2 linked regions of the Ovis aries genome follow. The protein of the gene in region 1 binds, or shares a complex with, the protein of each later gene. Links are inferred from orthologs where the notes say so. Each region holds a gene or a part of one and is shown in the gene's direction. Other genes may lie near its edges.

Region 1 (7,581 bases):
TTCAGAGATTTCCTCCTGGTTGTGGTACTGCCGCAACTGTGCCTCAAAGCAAGTGGGGCACAGGCTAGTGGTGACAAGATTGGGGCTGATCCCCTGGTGTCAGGCCATCTCTGAACTGTCAAAATCAGCCTGAATCAGCAGGCCGAAGGCAAAGTTCTACCTGTCCCTTCCCCTTCTGGGGAAGCTTGAGGTAGTTGTGACTGGGGAAGGGACACCCGAATGGCACTCAAGGGCCATCCCCAGGCTTGCAGCAAGGAACCCGGCTGAGTCTCCCAGCAGTGGGCTTCTCGGTCATGCTCCTGGGCTCACAGCTGCTCGCCCTCACCAGCCACCGCCATGTCCCTTCTCTTCTCAGGAAGAGCTCTACCATCAAGAAAGGGAGCCCAGCACCAGACCTCGCCCATGGACCCTTCTGAGGACCACCCAACGGCACCAGCAAGGCTGGTCTCCTAAGCCACAGAGGGCCTGCATGCCCCACCGTTGGGAAGGAGCCATGGTGTTTAGGAGTGGTGAAGGCTGCTCCCTGCAGTGGCCTGGCCCAGAAGGGGGCACTGGTTGCACGGGCCCCCAAAGCATGCTCAGGGCCACCCTGCTGCTTGTCAGCCTGCTGTGGGGGGCCCGGGGAACAGCCAGTGCCAGTCTCAGCCCGGCTCTGGGCCATCCCATGCCCCTGACCAGGGGCCGCTACCTGAGCATTGGAGATGGCTCTGTGATGGAGTTTGAGTTCCCAGAAGAGAGCGAGGGCATCATTGTGATCACAAGCCATTACCCAGGCCAGGGCAACGGGACAGGACCCAGCCCCATGCTGAGGGTCACCTCCCTGGACCCAGAGGTGCTGACCATTAAGAATGTGAGTGCTATAGCCTGGGGCGGCGGTGGCAGCTTCGTGGTAAGCATCCGCTCGGGCCTGCCTGGGATAGCCCCACTCCACATCCAGCTCACGGACCCCCGCGAGGCCCCGCCCAGGCTGATCGAAGAGCGGAGAGATTTCTGCATCAAGGTCTCACCCGCTGAAGACACCCCCATCACCCTCGGCACTAACCTGGTCCACTTCTCAGAGAACCCAATCCTCTACTTGCTCCTGCCTCTTATCTTTGTCAATAAGTGTTCATTTGGGTGCAAAGTGGAGCTCGAGGTACTGAAGGGGCTCTTGCAGAACCCCCAGCCCATGCTGCTGGGCCTTCTGGGCCAGTTCCTAGTCATGCCCTTCTATGCTTTTCTGATGGCTAAGGTCTTCATGCTGCCCAAGGCCCTGGCTCTGGGCCTCATCATCACTTGCTCGTCGCCCGGCGGCGGGGGGAGCTACCTCTTCAGCCTCCTCCTCGGAGGGGACGTCACTCTGGCCATCTCTATGACTTTCATCTCAACGGTGGCTGCCACCGGCTTCCTGCCGCTGTCCTCAGCCATCTACAGTCGCCTGCTCAGCATCCATGAAACACTCCATGTGCCTGTTTCCAAGATCCTGGGGACCCTGCTGTTCATTGCCATCCCCATTGCAGCAGGCGTGGTAATCAAGTCCAAGCTCCCCAAGTTCTCGCAGCTGCTGCTGCATGTCATCAAGCCCTTCAGCTTTGTGCTGCTCCTGGGTGGCCTCTTCCTGGCCTACCGCATGGGGGTCTTCATCCTGGCAGGCGTCAGGCTGCCCATCGTGTTGGTGGGCTTCACAGTGCCCCTGGTCGGCCTCCTGGTGGGCTACGGCCTGGCCACATGCCTGAATCTGCCAGTGGCCCAGCGGCGGACTGTCAGCATCGAGGTTGGGGTGCAGAACAGCCTTCTGGCCTTGGCCATGCTGCAGCTGTCCCTCCGCCGCCTCCAGGCTGACTATGCCTCCCAGGCCCCTTTCCTTGTGGCACTTAGTGGCACCTCGGAGATGCTGGCCTTAGTAATTGGCCACTTTATCTATAGCAGCGTGTGCACCGTTCCCTGAGGCCCCCGGGTCAAGCTTTCACCAGGCACCCCCAGCCCCCAACCTCCATCAACTGTCCCCACCATTCTTGTGTACCAAAGGCCTTTAGTTCTCATGCACTATGCACTCAGAAAAAAAAAAAAATCCAGGCTTATTTTTTTTACTCGTTTTTTATTCTCCAGCTTTCAGTGCCAAAGAGGCCATGCTGAGTTCTGTAAGCGGGCACTGCCCAGAAAATATATTTCAATAAAACAGAAGCAAGCTTGGGTATCATGCTGTCTTTGCCCTCTGAGGCCTGCGGGTCGGGGAAGGAAGGGCGTGGTGTGGCCAGGTAGGTGTGGGCCAGGATGGAGGGCTGGCTTGGCGACACAGTGACCTCTGGCCAGATTTAGCCTTCCTCGCCCCTGCATCACCTCTGAGAGCTGTGTATCTGTTCTAGAAGAAGCAGTGGGAAGGGCAGAGGCCTGACTCCCCCACCAGATCCCAAGCTCAGTTGCTTTTCCACAGGTGAAGTAAAAAAGAGGCCGGCGGGTGGTGAAACGAGCTCGGCGGGGCCGGGTCTTCTGCAGGCTCCTGAGAGGCAGGGGATGGGATGGGCATCAGCGTTGACCTGCTCTGCCCACGGGCGGTGGCGCGCGAACTCCCGGCCCGCCGTCTCCCCGGGCCCAGCTCCCCAACTCCTTCGAGCGAGCCCGACTGGTCCCGCCACCCTTTTCCACTCTCCGCGGGCTTCTGGGCTCCGTCGCCCCGGGCTCCGCGGAGGACAGTCCAGGTTGTGGGGGGAGGGGCCGGCGGGGCGGGGCCGCGATGCCCGGCTCGCCCCTCGCGATGCTTCCGGCGGCGGCGGGCGGTTCCGGCGCGCGCCCGGGGCGGCGGCGCGCGGCGGCGGACCGTTGGGGTGCGCGCCGGCCCGAGTGGACGCCTCGGCGGCCGCCATGCAGCTGACGGTGAAGGCACTCCAGGGCCGCGAGTGCAGCCTTCAGGTAGCATCGCCGGGCTGGGTTGCGCGGTCAGCCCCGCGGGTGCGGGATCGAGCCGCGGGAAGGGACGGACCCGGCGGGCTAGCCGCCTCGGGAGAGCCACCCTCCGCGCGGGCCGCGGCTTCACCCCCCGCCCACCTTTCTCGGCCGGGACAGGTGTCGGAGGACGAGCTGGTGTCCACGCTGAAACATCTGGTCTCCGAAAAGCTGAACATCCCCGTCCGCCAACAGCGGCTGCTGTTCAAGGGCAAGGCCCTGGCAGGTAACCAGGAAGAGGGGACGCTGGGGGAGACCCGCGGGAAGCCAGGGGACGGGGCGTCCAGCCCAGGCCCGGGCAGCAGTGTAGGTGGAGGGGGCTCTGGCTAGGTGACCCCCACCCCCATCCCGGGAGTTCACCGCTGCGCTTCGCCTAGGCTCTCCGAGGGTCAGTGCGACCCTCTCTCCCTCTCTCCCTCTCTCCCTCTCTCCCTCTCTCCCTCTCTCCCTCTCTCCCTCTCTCCCTCTCTCCCTCTCTCCCTCTCTCCCTCTCTCCCTCTCTCCCTCTCCCTCTCTCTTTCGGACAGATGGGAAAAGACTCTCCGATTACAGCATCGGGCCGAATTCCAAGCTCAACCTAGTGGTCAAACCTCTGGAGAAGGTGTTGCTGGAAGAAAGCACTGCGCGGAAAACGGCCGAGGCCCCAGCCCCACCGCCCGCCGCCTGGCCGCTCATTTCCAGAATCCTGGCCCAGCACTTCAGCGCCGCCGATGCCAGCAGAGTCCTGGATCAACTCCAGAGGGTGAGAAGCGTGGCCCAGGACCTCTGCATCCTGCCCACCTGCCTCTGTCCCAGCGGGCCCCCCCGCCCCAAGCCACACCCCTGAATCCTTCTGGCTTTCTCTCTTCAGGATTATGAGCGGTCCCTGAGCCGCCTGACGCTGGATGACATTGAACGTTTGGCTGGCCGCTTCCTGCACCCCGAAGCGACTGAAGCTATGGAGAAGGGGTTCTCCAAGTAGGATTCTCGGAGTGTGGGGAGGAGCCTGGCCAGGCCACAAGCTGCATGTAGCATTAAATGTCTTCTTGTATTGCAACTTGGCTCATAATACTGCCTGGCGGGTACTCGGGTACCTGTATCTGGCTCATGTTAGGTGCCAGGCCCCACTCAAAGCTCTTGACCCAGGTTGGCTCCCACATGTTGCACAAAAGGTGAGACAGCCGAGGCTCCTAGCGGAGAAGGCAAGGAGCCAGATTCTGAGTCCAGCCAGCTTCCAGAAGTACTTCAGGGTGAGAAGGAGAAAAGGGTCGTTCAGACGGGTTCTGAGGGGTGGCCATGGACATTCCAGGTTTAGCCCACTGAGGAGAAACCCTCGAGCAATACCTTTTCCAGGCCTGGAAGGGGAAGCAGCTAGCCCCTGATGCCCAGTTCTGTCACCTCATCCTTGACAGGTCCGGCATTGGCAAGAGGTCAGGTGATGGCCAGCCTTGGGCCCCCTTAGTGACTGCAACCAGTATGCACTCAAACGGAAGGCGGGCTGGGGAGTCTAGGATGTCACCCGACTCTGGGGAGTGACACGTAGGTGCCACGTTGGTCCCCAGCCTTCAACTCTGCTCAGTGAGGGCTGTTCTTGAGACTCTCTTAGTTTTCTTTAGCTCCAAAGCCTGGGGTCAGGAGTCTGTAGGCATCCTACTCCTGTGTCCCAGATACAAACTGAGGCCAAATTCTGAGTGATGGCCAAGCGTGGCCCAGAGACGGAATGTCCTGGCCCTTAGTGTCACAGATTTTCTCTGGGCACCCCCTTCTTTTCTCCTCCCAGACACAAGCGGTCCATGACCTTTAGAGATGACAGGTGATGGTCTCGAGGTGACTCGAGCAGGCCCCTGTACCCTTTGCCCATCCTCTGCCACATGTGGACAGGGCCTCCCACTGTGCACACCACTCACTGTCTGAGAGGGAACCTGGGTGGGGGCAGAAGCTGGGGGGTGGGTCGTAGAGATCGTCTAGGCACCTGCTCCTCAGAGGAGGGCACCTGGGCCACTCTCCGGCCTGAGCCTCATAGGGTAAGTGCTGGGTCCCCAGGTGGGGAGGACAGACAGTGGCTCGAGGGCCAAAGGCTTTGAAGAGCAGGTGGAAGTCCATGGCTCCACCCAGGAGCTGGGCATGCACTGCCACAAGGTTCATGTGATAGACTTCCCTACGCTCTCATTTCTTTGTAGTCAGGAAATTTTATATTGACCTTCTCAGTCACACTAGAGGTGCATGTGAGACTTTGACCTGAAAGGAACTCTATTAGTTGAACTGCTTTTGGTTTCCCCATCGTTGATTTAACCATTACAGGACATAGGTTTAAGCAATAAAGAGAAGGTATTGGTTTGCGAAACTGAGAAGTCCAGGGGTATTGGCAGCAGATAAATGATTTCCCCAAATACCCAGTTTCTTCCTACCTCCCCTCTGCACTCTGCAGTGTCTGCTTCATCCCAGGCCTCTACCTCAGGATCAGAAGATGGCTGCCTGCAGCTTCCACCGAACCCCTCGGTCACAGCCAGCACGGAGCACCTTCCCGTCCTCTAGCGTAGCTTCCTCCTCAGCTGCCCCAACAAATAAACGCTGTCCCTTTTGGATGCTTAGAACCGGGTGCCTCCATCATTTTATCAGGGGCTTGGGTGGGCTGTGGAAGGGAGAGGGCAACTCTCAGGAAGGCCGGGTCCTCGGGGAGAGCTGACGCGTGCAGACGGGTCTTGTTGACAGACACAAGAGACAGCTGGTGAGTCTTGTGTGCCTCCCGACTGGGAGGTGATGACCCTGTGGTAGCTAGGAGCCATCTGCTGGGTGCAGAAAGTCATCGGGGAGCTCAGGCTGCCCATGGAGACAGGAGTGGTGTCTCCCAGGTGTATAGTAGGTGCCTTGCTGACAGGCCCGACAGGCTGATTCCGCGGCCCTGTGCAGTTTTCCACGACATTCCGGAGGGCCTGTGGACACAATGTCCCAGACACTGCGAGGATGCATGAAATTACTTCCCAGAGAGCATGACCGAAGAAAGGGGAGAGCACTGGACCTGGGGGAGACTTCACCAACTGGAGACACTGCAGAGGCCAAGGCACCTCTGCAGACGCAAGGCCACAGGGAGAGCTTGGAGTCAGAGGCCAGGAAGGCCCCTCCAGCCAGGGTACAGAGTGTATAGTGCTGCCAAGAAGCAAAAGAGGGCAGCCTCCTGTCAAGCTAACAAGAAGGTCATTGGTGATATTAGGGCAAGAAGTTGCTGCATGGTGGAGAGGGGGAAAGTCTTGCCAGTGACTGGAGACCCCTGGTTCCAGAAGCTTGTCTGGGCAGGAGTGTGTAGCTATGGGGGGTGGGGGTGGGGAGACAGGGAAGAGGTGCTGGGATGAGAGATGGGAGGCCTAGGTGGGAAGGGGCCACGGAGGCTCTGGTCTAGGCCTTGTGCCATCGCTAGAGGATAGAATGGCCACGGGCTGTGCCCTGCCTTTGTCCTTAGTTTCTGGGTGAGGGGGTGGCCCCATGTACACTGCGGGCTCCAAATGCTGCAGTATCCTTCCATAGGGGCTGGAATGTTTAAGGCCATCACTGTGCCCCTTGAGCCAAGTGTCTGCCCCAGAGGTGGGCACTGACCCCCCCATTACCACTCCCATCCCCTGGCCTGAGACCACTCTCTCCTCGTGGAGGAGCCTTGAAACAGCCCCACTAGGAGATGGCAGGGCGAGTGAAACGCCCAGCTGAAGTGGCCCCAGACAGCAACAGTCCGGCACCTGGAATAAGATGCCTGTGGTGCCACTTGCCATGGGCACACTGGCGGAGGGGTAGGCTCAGAGGAAAGCAGCGTTTCCTTTGGGGTGGGGCTTGCTGAGCTGGAAAACGCCCAGGCAAAGATCAGCTGCATGCACAATTTGCTGGTGCCTTGCTTTCCACGCAAGCCTGGACAAAAGCCAGCCTTACCAGGTCCAATAGATCTGACAAGTGCTGCTGAGGACGGGTCAGGCCCTGCCAGCGGGAGATGCAAGGGCCATGGCGGCCTCTGTGCCCTGGGCCTTGGAAAGCCTGCGGGAGAGATGCTCACCCCTGTCACCCTGTCCCCCTCCAAGGCCCAGCCAGAGCAGCCTCCCGGAGCTACTGGGGACCTGCCCCAGGCCACCTCTTCTGCCTGCCCTCTCCACCTCTTCTGCCTGCCCTCTCCAACTTTTCCTTCCACTTCCCCTAGCTCTGGGCTTCCCTGATAGCTCAATTGGTAAAGGATCCGCCTGCAATGCAGGAGACCCCGGTTCAGTTCTTAGATCAGGAAGATCCCCTGGAGAATGGATGGGCTACACACTCCAGTATTCTTGGGCTTCCCTGGTGGCTCAGCTGGGAAAGAATCAGCCTGCAATGAGGGTGACCTGGGTTTGATCCCTGGGTTTGGAAGATCCCCTGGAGAAGGGACCAGCTACCCACTCCAGTATTCTGGTCCATGGGGTCGCAAAGAGTCAGACACGACTGAGCAACTTTCACTTTTACTTTTCACCTGTGCTGGCTCTCCCCCAACACACCCATCTCCTACTTATGGGGGACACTGAGGCTCCATCCCCAGATCTCTTCTCCGGATCTCTCACTCCCTGGGGAACCTGTCTGCCTTCATTGCCATTTCTGTGCTTTGTGTCCATGTCTGCAACTTACCCCAGCCCCATCTCTGAGCTTCGGGCCATGGCTCTGGGTTGTGACTCTGAA
Region 2 (6,976 bases), on another chromosome or scaffold:
CGTAAGGAGGTTGATCCATAGTTTTAAACACATTGTTTCGTGTATTTAATGAGACTGTGTAGGCTTTTGTGATTAGGTGTTTGTAAACAGCTGGATACTTCTCACAAGTCAGTTGTCTAGTTAGGAAAAATATTTTTCTGACTTTGCCCCTTTTTCTTCTTGCTTGAGTCTGCCTTCCTTAACCTGATTCTCTACCGCATCTTCTTTGTCATTGCTTTTATCTTTAAGGTTACAGTGTTGTATCATTTTGTGTTTGTGGAGGGGTCACCGGTATCTCTAGGCACACACATTCCTTTTGGAGCCAGGCAGAGAGGGAGAGAAGAGAATGTCAGTTGGTGTTTCTGGTCTTCAGCCCTGTAGTTTTCTCCTGGGCCTGTACCTGAAGTTCGTTACGTTTATTGTATGTATTTTGACAAGTGTTGCCCTAGTTCAGGGCTTTGCTCAATAATTACCTCACAATTAAGACAGGTGGGTAGTAATTTTAGGATGGGATGGTTTTTACCCCTTACAAGTCAGCTGTCCCCCTTCTGTCCTTTTTCTTCCACCCCCGATTCCTCGTCATGTTTCTTCTTCCCTACAGATGAACGTAAAGGAGTTTAAGGAACATATTGCTGCTTCTGTTAGCATCCCATCTGAGAAACAACGGCTTATCTACCAGGGACGAGTTCTGCAGGATGATAAGAAGCTCCAAGAATACAGTAAGGGGGTGGGGGAGGCAGAGCAGAGCTTGAGGCTGCTGTCCAGAGCAGTGAGCTGAGGCCAAGGGTTTCCCTGATCATGTAATGTTTTGGTGTGTATCTTTTTTCTGCAGATGTTGGGGGAAAGGTTATTCACCTTGTGGAACGGGCTCCTCCTCAGACTCAGCTCCCTTCTGGAGCATCTTCTGGAACAGGGTCCACCTCAGCCACCCATGGTGGGGGACCCACGCCTGGTACTCGGGGGCCTGGGGCCTCTGTTCATGACCGGAATGCCAACAGCTATGTCATGGTTGGAACCTTCAATCTTCCCGTAAGCTTGTGTTCCTCACGGGAGGGTTTTTGTGGGGTCAGTTTTGGTTGTGGTAGCAGCCAAGAGTTCATAAGAGAGGTGTGTCAGTCTTTAGAAGGGCTTTGGTGGGCTCTCTGGTCTGGTAACAGCCTCTGTCTTTGATAATCTAGAGGGGTCGGGCACCAGAGAATCAGTTGGAAGCGTGGGGGCCTTAGTATTTGGCTTCTCCCAGAGCAACTTCCCTTACCCTTTCCTCAGAGTGACGGCTCTGCTGTGGATGTTCACATCAACATGGAACAGGCCCCAATTCAGGTATCACAGGGCCTGGGAGGGTCAAGGAAGGGGATCTGGGAGAAGGAGGCCACAAAGTGGGGGATGGGTCTGGCTGAAGAGATGGGGCTGGGTCCTGGTTTAGTAGGTAATGGAGCTTGTGGCTTTGTCTCCAGCCTGACCTGATTTTCTCTCTCATTGTAGAGTGAGCCCCGAGTACGGCTGGTGATGGCTCAGCATATGATCAGGGATATACAGACCTTACTCTCCCGGATGGAGGTGAGTGGGCAAGGCTGGCCACTGCCTGTCTCACTCTATCCTCCCTACCCCTTTTGTCTCAGCCTAGGGATGACTGGTCACATCCACTGGGTTCTCCCCTCTTAATCTAATCTCTTTTCTGCAGTGTGTGCTCTTTTGGGCAGAAAAAGTATCTTTCTTTTGAGGCTGTCCTGTCCCTGCTGATTCTCTTTGCAATTAAAGAAGGATTCCTTGCCTTCCTGTTCCTTGATTGTCATATTTGATGCTGGGATGGCTTAGCTTCATTAGTTTGTATTTGCAGCCAGTGTCCTGTCCTTCTTTCCTCTTGGAGGCTAGGAAACCACAACCCCTAGTTTTTGTTAATAGTTTATTTGTAAGTATCATAGGTGTTTGTCACACGTCTAATTTGTGTACGTTTTAGGGAGTCAGATTCAGATGCAGAGCCCTGCCTTCGGGGCGGCTAGTTAGTGCCCCTTCTCCACTCAGGCTGCTCTGACTTGAGTAATCTGCTGCAGTTTCACGTTGCCTTTGTTGTCCTGACTCTTCTCCCGCTTCAGTGCCGAGGGGGTGCCCAAGCCCAGCACAGTCAGCCGCCACCCCAGACACCAACGGTGGCACCAGAGCCGGTGGCCTTGACCTCCCAAACGTCAGAACCGGTTGAAAGTGAAGTGCCTCCTCGGGAGCCCATGGAGGCGGAAGAAGTGGAGGAGCGTGCCCCTGCCCAGAGCCCGGAGCTCACCCCTTCTGGCCCAGCCCCAGCGGGCCCAGCCTCTGCCCCAGAGACAAATGCACCCAAGTGAGAGAGGGAGAGCACCTTTTGGGGTGGGAGTGGGTTGGGGATTCTAAGTGAAGTGTAAGGACCAGGAGAAGGTTGACGAGAGAGAAAACATTGTTCAGAGGTGGTGCTTGTAGAGTTAGTGTTGAGGGGCGGTGCGGGGGGCTCTGGAGTAGGTAAATGAGATTGAGACTGGCCACTGAGCTAGAGGCGCTGCCCTTCTTTGGCTTAGGAAATCCACATGGTGCTCCCGGAGGTGGCAAGCATCTCTCCCCTGAGTACCCAGAGGCCCTATCTGGTTTTTAAGAGTTGGTGTTTTGCCATTATAGGTACAGGATTGTGTTGTGGGAAGGGTGAAAGCAGTTTGTCTTTTCCTGTCCTTCCCCCCTGGGTGAGGTTAAAGAACAGAAGCTCTGCTAGTTCCAGGGGGTGGGGTGGGGGGTTAGGCTGGGGCTCTGGGAGGCCAGGGAGAAGTGGGGCACGGGTGGTAAGGGCAGGAGTCTGAGGGAAGCCTCGGCTCACGGCCGCTTTGGGTTTTGCCCACAGCCACCCTTCGCCTGCGGAGTATGTCGAGGTGCTTCAGGAGCTGCAGCGGCTTGAGAGCCGCCTCCAGCCCTTCCTGCAGCGCTACTATGAGGTTTTGGGTGCTGCTGCCACCACAGACTACAACAACAATGTGAGCCCACCCACCCCCTCACCTCCAGCACCCCCAGATGGAGCAGGGCGAAGCGTAGATCACTTCCCCTGCCCCGTGCCCCAAAAGATGTCATCTTCTGCAGAGCAGCTTCTCTTTAGATTAGGAAGGAAGTGATTGTTTCCTCCTTGACAGGAACACAGGATCTTTTCCTCATTGACATCTTTATGGTGTTCACTGTCTTCTCACTTTCATGATCCCCTAAATTAGTTACTTAGCAAGTTTATAATGTAAGGGAGATTAGCAGGTGATCGCTTACTGATTCACTGTAGGATTTATTATCAAAGGAAGCTATTTGTGTGTATAAACTGGAGCTTACTTGCAAAGATTTGGTGTATACAGAAGCTTCAGAGGATGTACCTAAAGACATAGTGCTCACTTGCTCAGTTGTATCTAACTCTTTGTGACCCTGTGGCCTGTAGCTCGCCAGGCTCCTCTGTCCATAGGGTCTTCCAGGCAAGAATACTGAAATGGGTTTCCATTTCCTTCTTCAAAAGACAGAGAGGATGTGATAATCAATCTCAAAAAGGCATTACTTTTTTAACAAGGTGGATCCTAGCCTAATGCTTTCTGCTTTTCTGTGTTTGGCCCCGGGGAGTACAGCAAGAGGGCCGTGAGGAGGATCAGCGCTTGATCAACTTGGTGGGGGAGAGCCTGCGGCTGCTGGGCAACACCTTCGTGGCACTGTCTGACCTGCGTTGCAATCTGGCCTGTGCGCCCCCTCGTCATCTGCACGTGGTCCGGCCCATGTCTCACTACACCACCCCCATGGTGCTCCAGCAGGCGGCCATCCCCATCCAGGTGGATCAGGAGAGCCTGGATGCGGACAGATGGGGGGCTGTTGATGAAGTGATCCATCGTAGCTGTTGGGCTCCAAGGAGGTTGGGAGGGGAGCAGACTCGGCAAACATGGTGACCCAGGATGGAGGAGACTTTAGAAGCGTGTCATGGGGTGCTCTGGGTTAGGCGCTTGTGTTTCACTCACGTCTGCCCCGTTGTCTCTGTCGTCCAGATCAACGTGGGGACCACTGTGACCATGACGGGGAACGGGACACGGCCCCCCCCGACTCCAAGTGCGGAGGCACCTCCCGCTGGTGCTGGGCAGGCCTCGTCCCTGGCCCCTTCTTCTACCGCCGTGGAGTCTTCGAATGAGGGGGCTTCCCCGCCAGGACCAGCTCCCCCACCGACCACCAGCCACCCGAGGGTCATCCGGATTTCCCACCAGAGTGTGGAACCCGTGGTCATGATGCACATGAACATCCAAGGTGAGCTGGGAATAGCTGCTGGCAGAGCAGAGCGGTGCAAGGAGGGGTTTTGGGTTGGTGCTGAGATGTGGGGGTGCCAGGGTGGGAAAGGAGAGGCCAGGGCTGGTGGCGGTGGCTGATGGCGCAGAGCAGAGCACAGGCTCTTTAAGTTGGTGTGTGTCGGGAGGGGCAGGAAGAACGGCTTGTCCTCACAGAGTTGTGTGCGTGGTGAAGGGAGCATCTCCTCCCCATCTAGATGGAGTGAAAGGCCATTTTTCTGGTCGGGGGAGTGGAGGCCTGAAGCACGCTGATCTTGGGAGGATCCAGTTAGACCTTGGCCCCGCCTGTCTCAGGCCACTTTCTCTGTCTCCTTGCCCAGATTCTGGCACACAGCCTGGTGGAGTTCCGAGTGCTCCCACTGGCCCCCTAGGACCCCCTGGTCATGGCCAGACCCTGGGTAAGAGTGAGGGCATCAGAGCAGGTTGAGCTCTGGGTAGAGAAGGGGTAGGGCTGAGTGGGTGGGTTGAAGGGGGTCCAGGGTCAAGGTTACATCAGACCCACCCCCCAGGCTCCACCCTCATCCAGCTGCCCTCCCTGCCCCCTGAGTTCATGCACGCCGTCGCCCACCAGATCACTCATGAGGCCATGGTGGCAGCTGTTGCCTCCGCGGCCACAGGTAACAACCTGAAAGGGGAAGCCTGGGAGGTGGGGCCCAGTCCACGGTGGTGGGCGTCGTCTGCTGGCTTGCTCGGACTGGGCCCTCAGCCGTCTTCGGTCTCTCCCCTCTGCCGCCCACAGGACAGCAGGTGCCAGGCTTCCCGACAGCTCCCACCCGGCTGGTGATTGCCCGGCCCACGCCTCCACAGGCTCGGCCTTCCCATCCTGGGGGGCCCCCGGTCTCGGGGGCTCTGGTGAGTTAGGGGTGGGGTAGTCCCATCAGGGAAGAGTGTGGAGAGACTCCTGTGGCAGGGCATGGAGAGGCCAAGTCTGAAAGCCTGCCGTTGTCTTCTTCCCTCAGCCGGGTGCTGGTTTGGGTACCAACGCCTCTTTAGCCCAGATGGTGAGCGGCCTCGTGGGGCAGCTTCTTATGCAGCCTGTCCTTGTGGGTGAGTCCGTGTCCTTCCTCACCTCAGATGGAAGCGGTTTCCCAGTTCTCTCCACCAGAATGGAGATGCTGTGGGGTCTTGTTTTCCTTGAGCTTTCCGCTGTCTTCTTTTGCTCTCTAGCTCAGGGGACCCCAGGAATGGCTCCATCTCCAGCCCCTGCGACTGCGTCAGCTAGTTCTGGCACCACCAACACGGCTACCACAGCTGGCCCTGCCCCAGGGGGGCCTGCCCAGCCTCAGCCTCCTCAAGCCTCCGCCTCTGATCTTCAGTTCTCTCAGCTCCTGGGGAACCTGCTGGGGCCTGCTGGGCCGGGAACTGGAGGGCCTGGTGTGGCTTCTCCCACCATTACTGTGGCGATGCCTGGTGTACCCGCCTTTCTCCAGGGCATGACGGACTTCTTGCAGGTGAGTGGCTGGCTGACTCTCCGCTTCAGTCTGCCTCTTTCTGAGCCCAGCCAGGTCCTGGGTGTCTTGTTGCCACTAGGAAGGAACCTTGGGAATTGATTGTCTTAGCACCCTTCATTTGGTAGATGAGGAAAACGGGCTGGGAGAGAGAAGCATGATAATTGTGTCACTGCTTTCCTGAGCTAACCCGTTCAGAGGGTACCTGCTCAACCCGACTCAGCTTATGAAAAGCCGCCATGTATATTCTGCTATAAGGCACAAAGACTGGAACAGCGCGCCATACCTTCCAGACTCCTGTGGATTTGTGCTTCCCCAGTGTCGTTTTTGGGGCTTCCCTGGTAGCTCAGCTGGTAAAGAATCTGCCTGCAATGCAGGAGACGCCGGTTCGATTCCTGGGTCAGGAAGCTCCCCTGAAGAAGGGATAGGCTACCCACTCTAGTATTCATGAGCTTCCCTGGTGGCTCAGCTGGTAAAGAATCTGCCTGCAGTGCGGGAGACCTGGGTTGGGAAGATCCCCTGGAGGAGGGCATGGCAATCCACTCTAGTATTCTTGCCTGGAGAATCCCTTTGGACAGAGGAGCCTGGCAGGCTACAGTCCATGGGGTTGCAGAGTCCGACACGACTGACTGAGCAGCTAAGCATAATGCCGTTCTATATCCTTATTCTAATTTCACTCTCTGTTCTTTATTCCGTCCCTCTCATGCAGGCAACACAGACAGCTGCTCCCCCTCCTCCGCCGCCCCCACCCCCACCGCCCCCTCCAGCCCCAGAGCAGCAGACAGCACCCCCACCGGGGTCCCCTTCTGGTGGCAGTGGGAGTCCTGGCAGCGTGGGTCCTGAGAGCCTGCCATTGGAGTTCTTCACCTCAGTGGTGCAGGGTGTGCTGAGCTCGCTGCTGGGCTCCCTGGGGGCCCGGGCTGGCAGCAGTGAGAGCATCGCTGCTTTCATACAGCGCCTCAGTGGGTCCAGCAACATCTTTGAGCCTGGGGCCGATGGGGCTCTCGGTGAGCAGATAAGGGTGCCCTGCCTTCTCTAGGGATCGGGCAGCCAGGGGAGAGTGGGTAGCCTTTGTTGATGGTGGGATGAGGCTGATGGGCTAGAGGGCAGGCCAGGTGGTAAAGGCCACTGCTGACCTCAGTCCCTGTCCCTAGGCTTCTTCGGGGCCCTGCTCTCTCTTCTATGCCAGAACTTTTCCATGGTGGATGTGGTGATGCTGCTCCACGGGCATTTCCAGCCCCT

Evidence for each region. Proteins that work in one complex are often made in the same cells at the same time.
Region 2: the proteins of UBL4A (region 1) and BAG6 are in contact, whole or in part, in a crystal structure (PDB 4X86), measured with the Homo sapiens proteins. The link is inferred for Ovis aries from reciprocal best matches to the Homo sapiens genes UBL4A and BAG6. Residues at the interface, in NP_055050.1 of Homo sapiens: Val95, Leu98, Ile99, Val102, Leu103, Arg105, His106, Phe107, Ser108, Asp111, Arg114, Val115, Gln118, Leu119, Asp122, Tyr123, Glu124, Ser126, Leu127, Ser128, Leu130, Ile135, Leu138, Arg141, Phe142; in NP_001092004.1 of Homo sapiens: Gly1052, Pro1053, Leu1055, Leu1057, Ala1060, Val1061, Ala1064, Ala1065, Ala1067, Ala1068, Ala1070, Arg1071, Pro1072, Leu1073, Thr1074, Ser1078, Leu1079, Asp1082, Leu1083, Glu1087, Val1088, Ser1091, Tyr1092, Gln1095, Leu1096, Asp1099, Ile1100, Arg1103, Leu1104.

Annotation. Positions count from the first base shown.
Region 1 is NC_056080.1:79,952,303-79,959,883, forward strand, and holds UBL4A (ubiquitin-like protein 4A), read left to right. Parts: upstream 1-2,798; 5' UTR 2,799-2,841; coding exon 2,842-2,889; intron 2,890-3,042; coding exon 3,043-3,148; intron 3,149-3,449; coding exon 3,450-3,664; intron 3,665-3,772; coding exon 3,773-3,879; coding exon of another isoform or gene 3,880-3,883; exon of another isoform or gene 3,884-4,313; coding exon 4,314-4,437; 3' UTR 4,438-4,440; exon of another isoform or gene 4,441-5,329; coding exon of another isoform or gene 5,330-5,441; 3' UTR 5,442-5,495; downstream 5,496-7,581. Other genes in the region: SLC10A3 (P3 protein), read left to right, coding at 470-1,927. UniProt on the Homo sapiens protein: As part of a cytosolic protein quality control complex, the BAG6/BAT3 complex, maintains misfolded and hydrophobic patches-containing proteins in a soluble state and participates in their proper delivery to the endoplasmic reticulum or alternatively can promote their sorting to the proteasome where they undergo degradation.
Region 2 is NC_056073.1:26,728,918-26,735,893, forward strand, and holds part of BAG6 (large proline-rich protein BAG6), read left to right. Parts: intron 1-580; coding exon 581-698; intron 699-811; coding exon 812-1,008; intron 1,009-1,245; coding exon 1,246-1,299; intron 1,300-1,461; coding exon 1,462-1,536; intron 1,537-2,072; coding exon 2,073-2,311; intron 2,312-2,836; coding exon 2,837-2,966; intron 2,967-3,587; coding exon 3,588-3,785; intron 3,786-3,995; coding exon 3,996-4,248; intron 4,249-4,606; coding exon 4,607-4,684; intron 4,685-4,795; coding exon 4,796-4,903; intron 4,904-5,025; coding exon 5,026-5,138; intron 5,139-5,245; coding exon 5,246-5,333; intron 5,334-5,453; coding exon 5,454-5,737; intron 5,738-6,443; coding exon 6,444-6,741; intron 6,742-6,888; coding exon 6,889-6,976. UniProt on the Homo sapiens protein: ATP-independent molecular chaperone preventing the aggregation of misfolded and hydrophobic patches-containing proteins.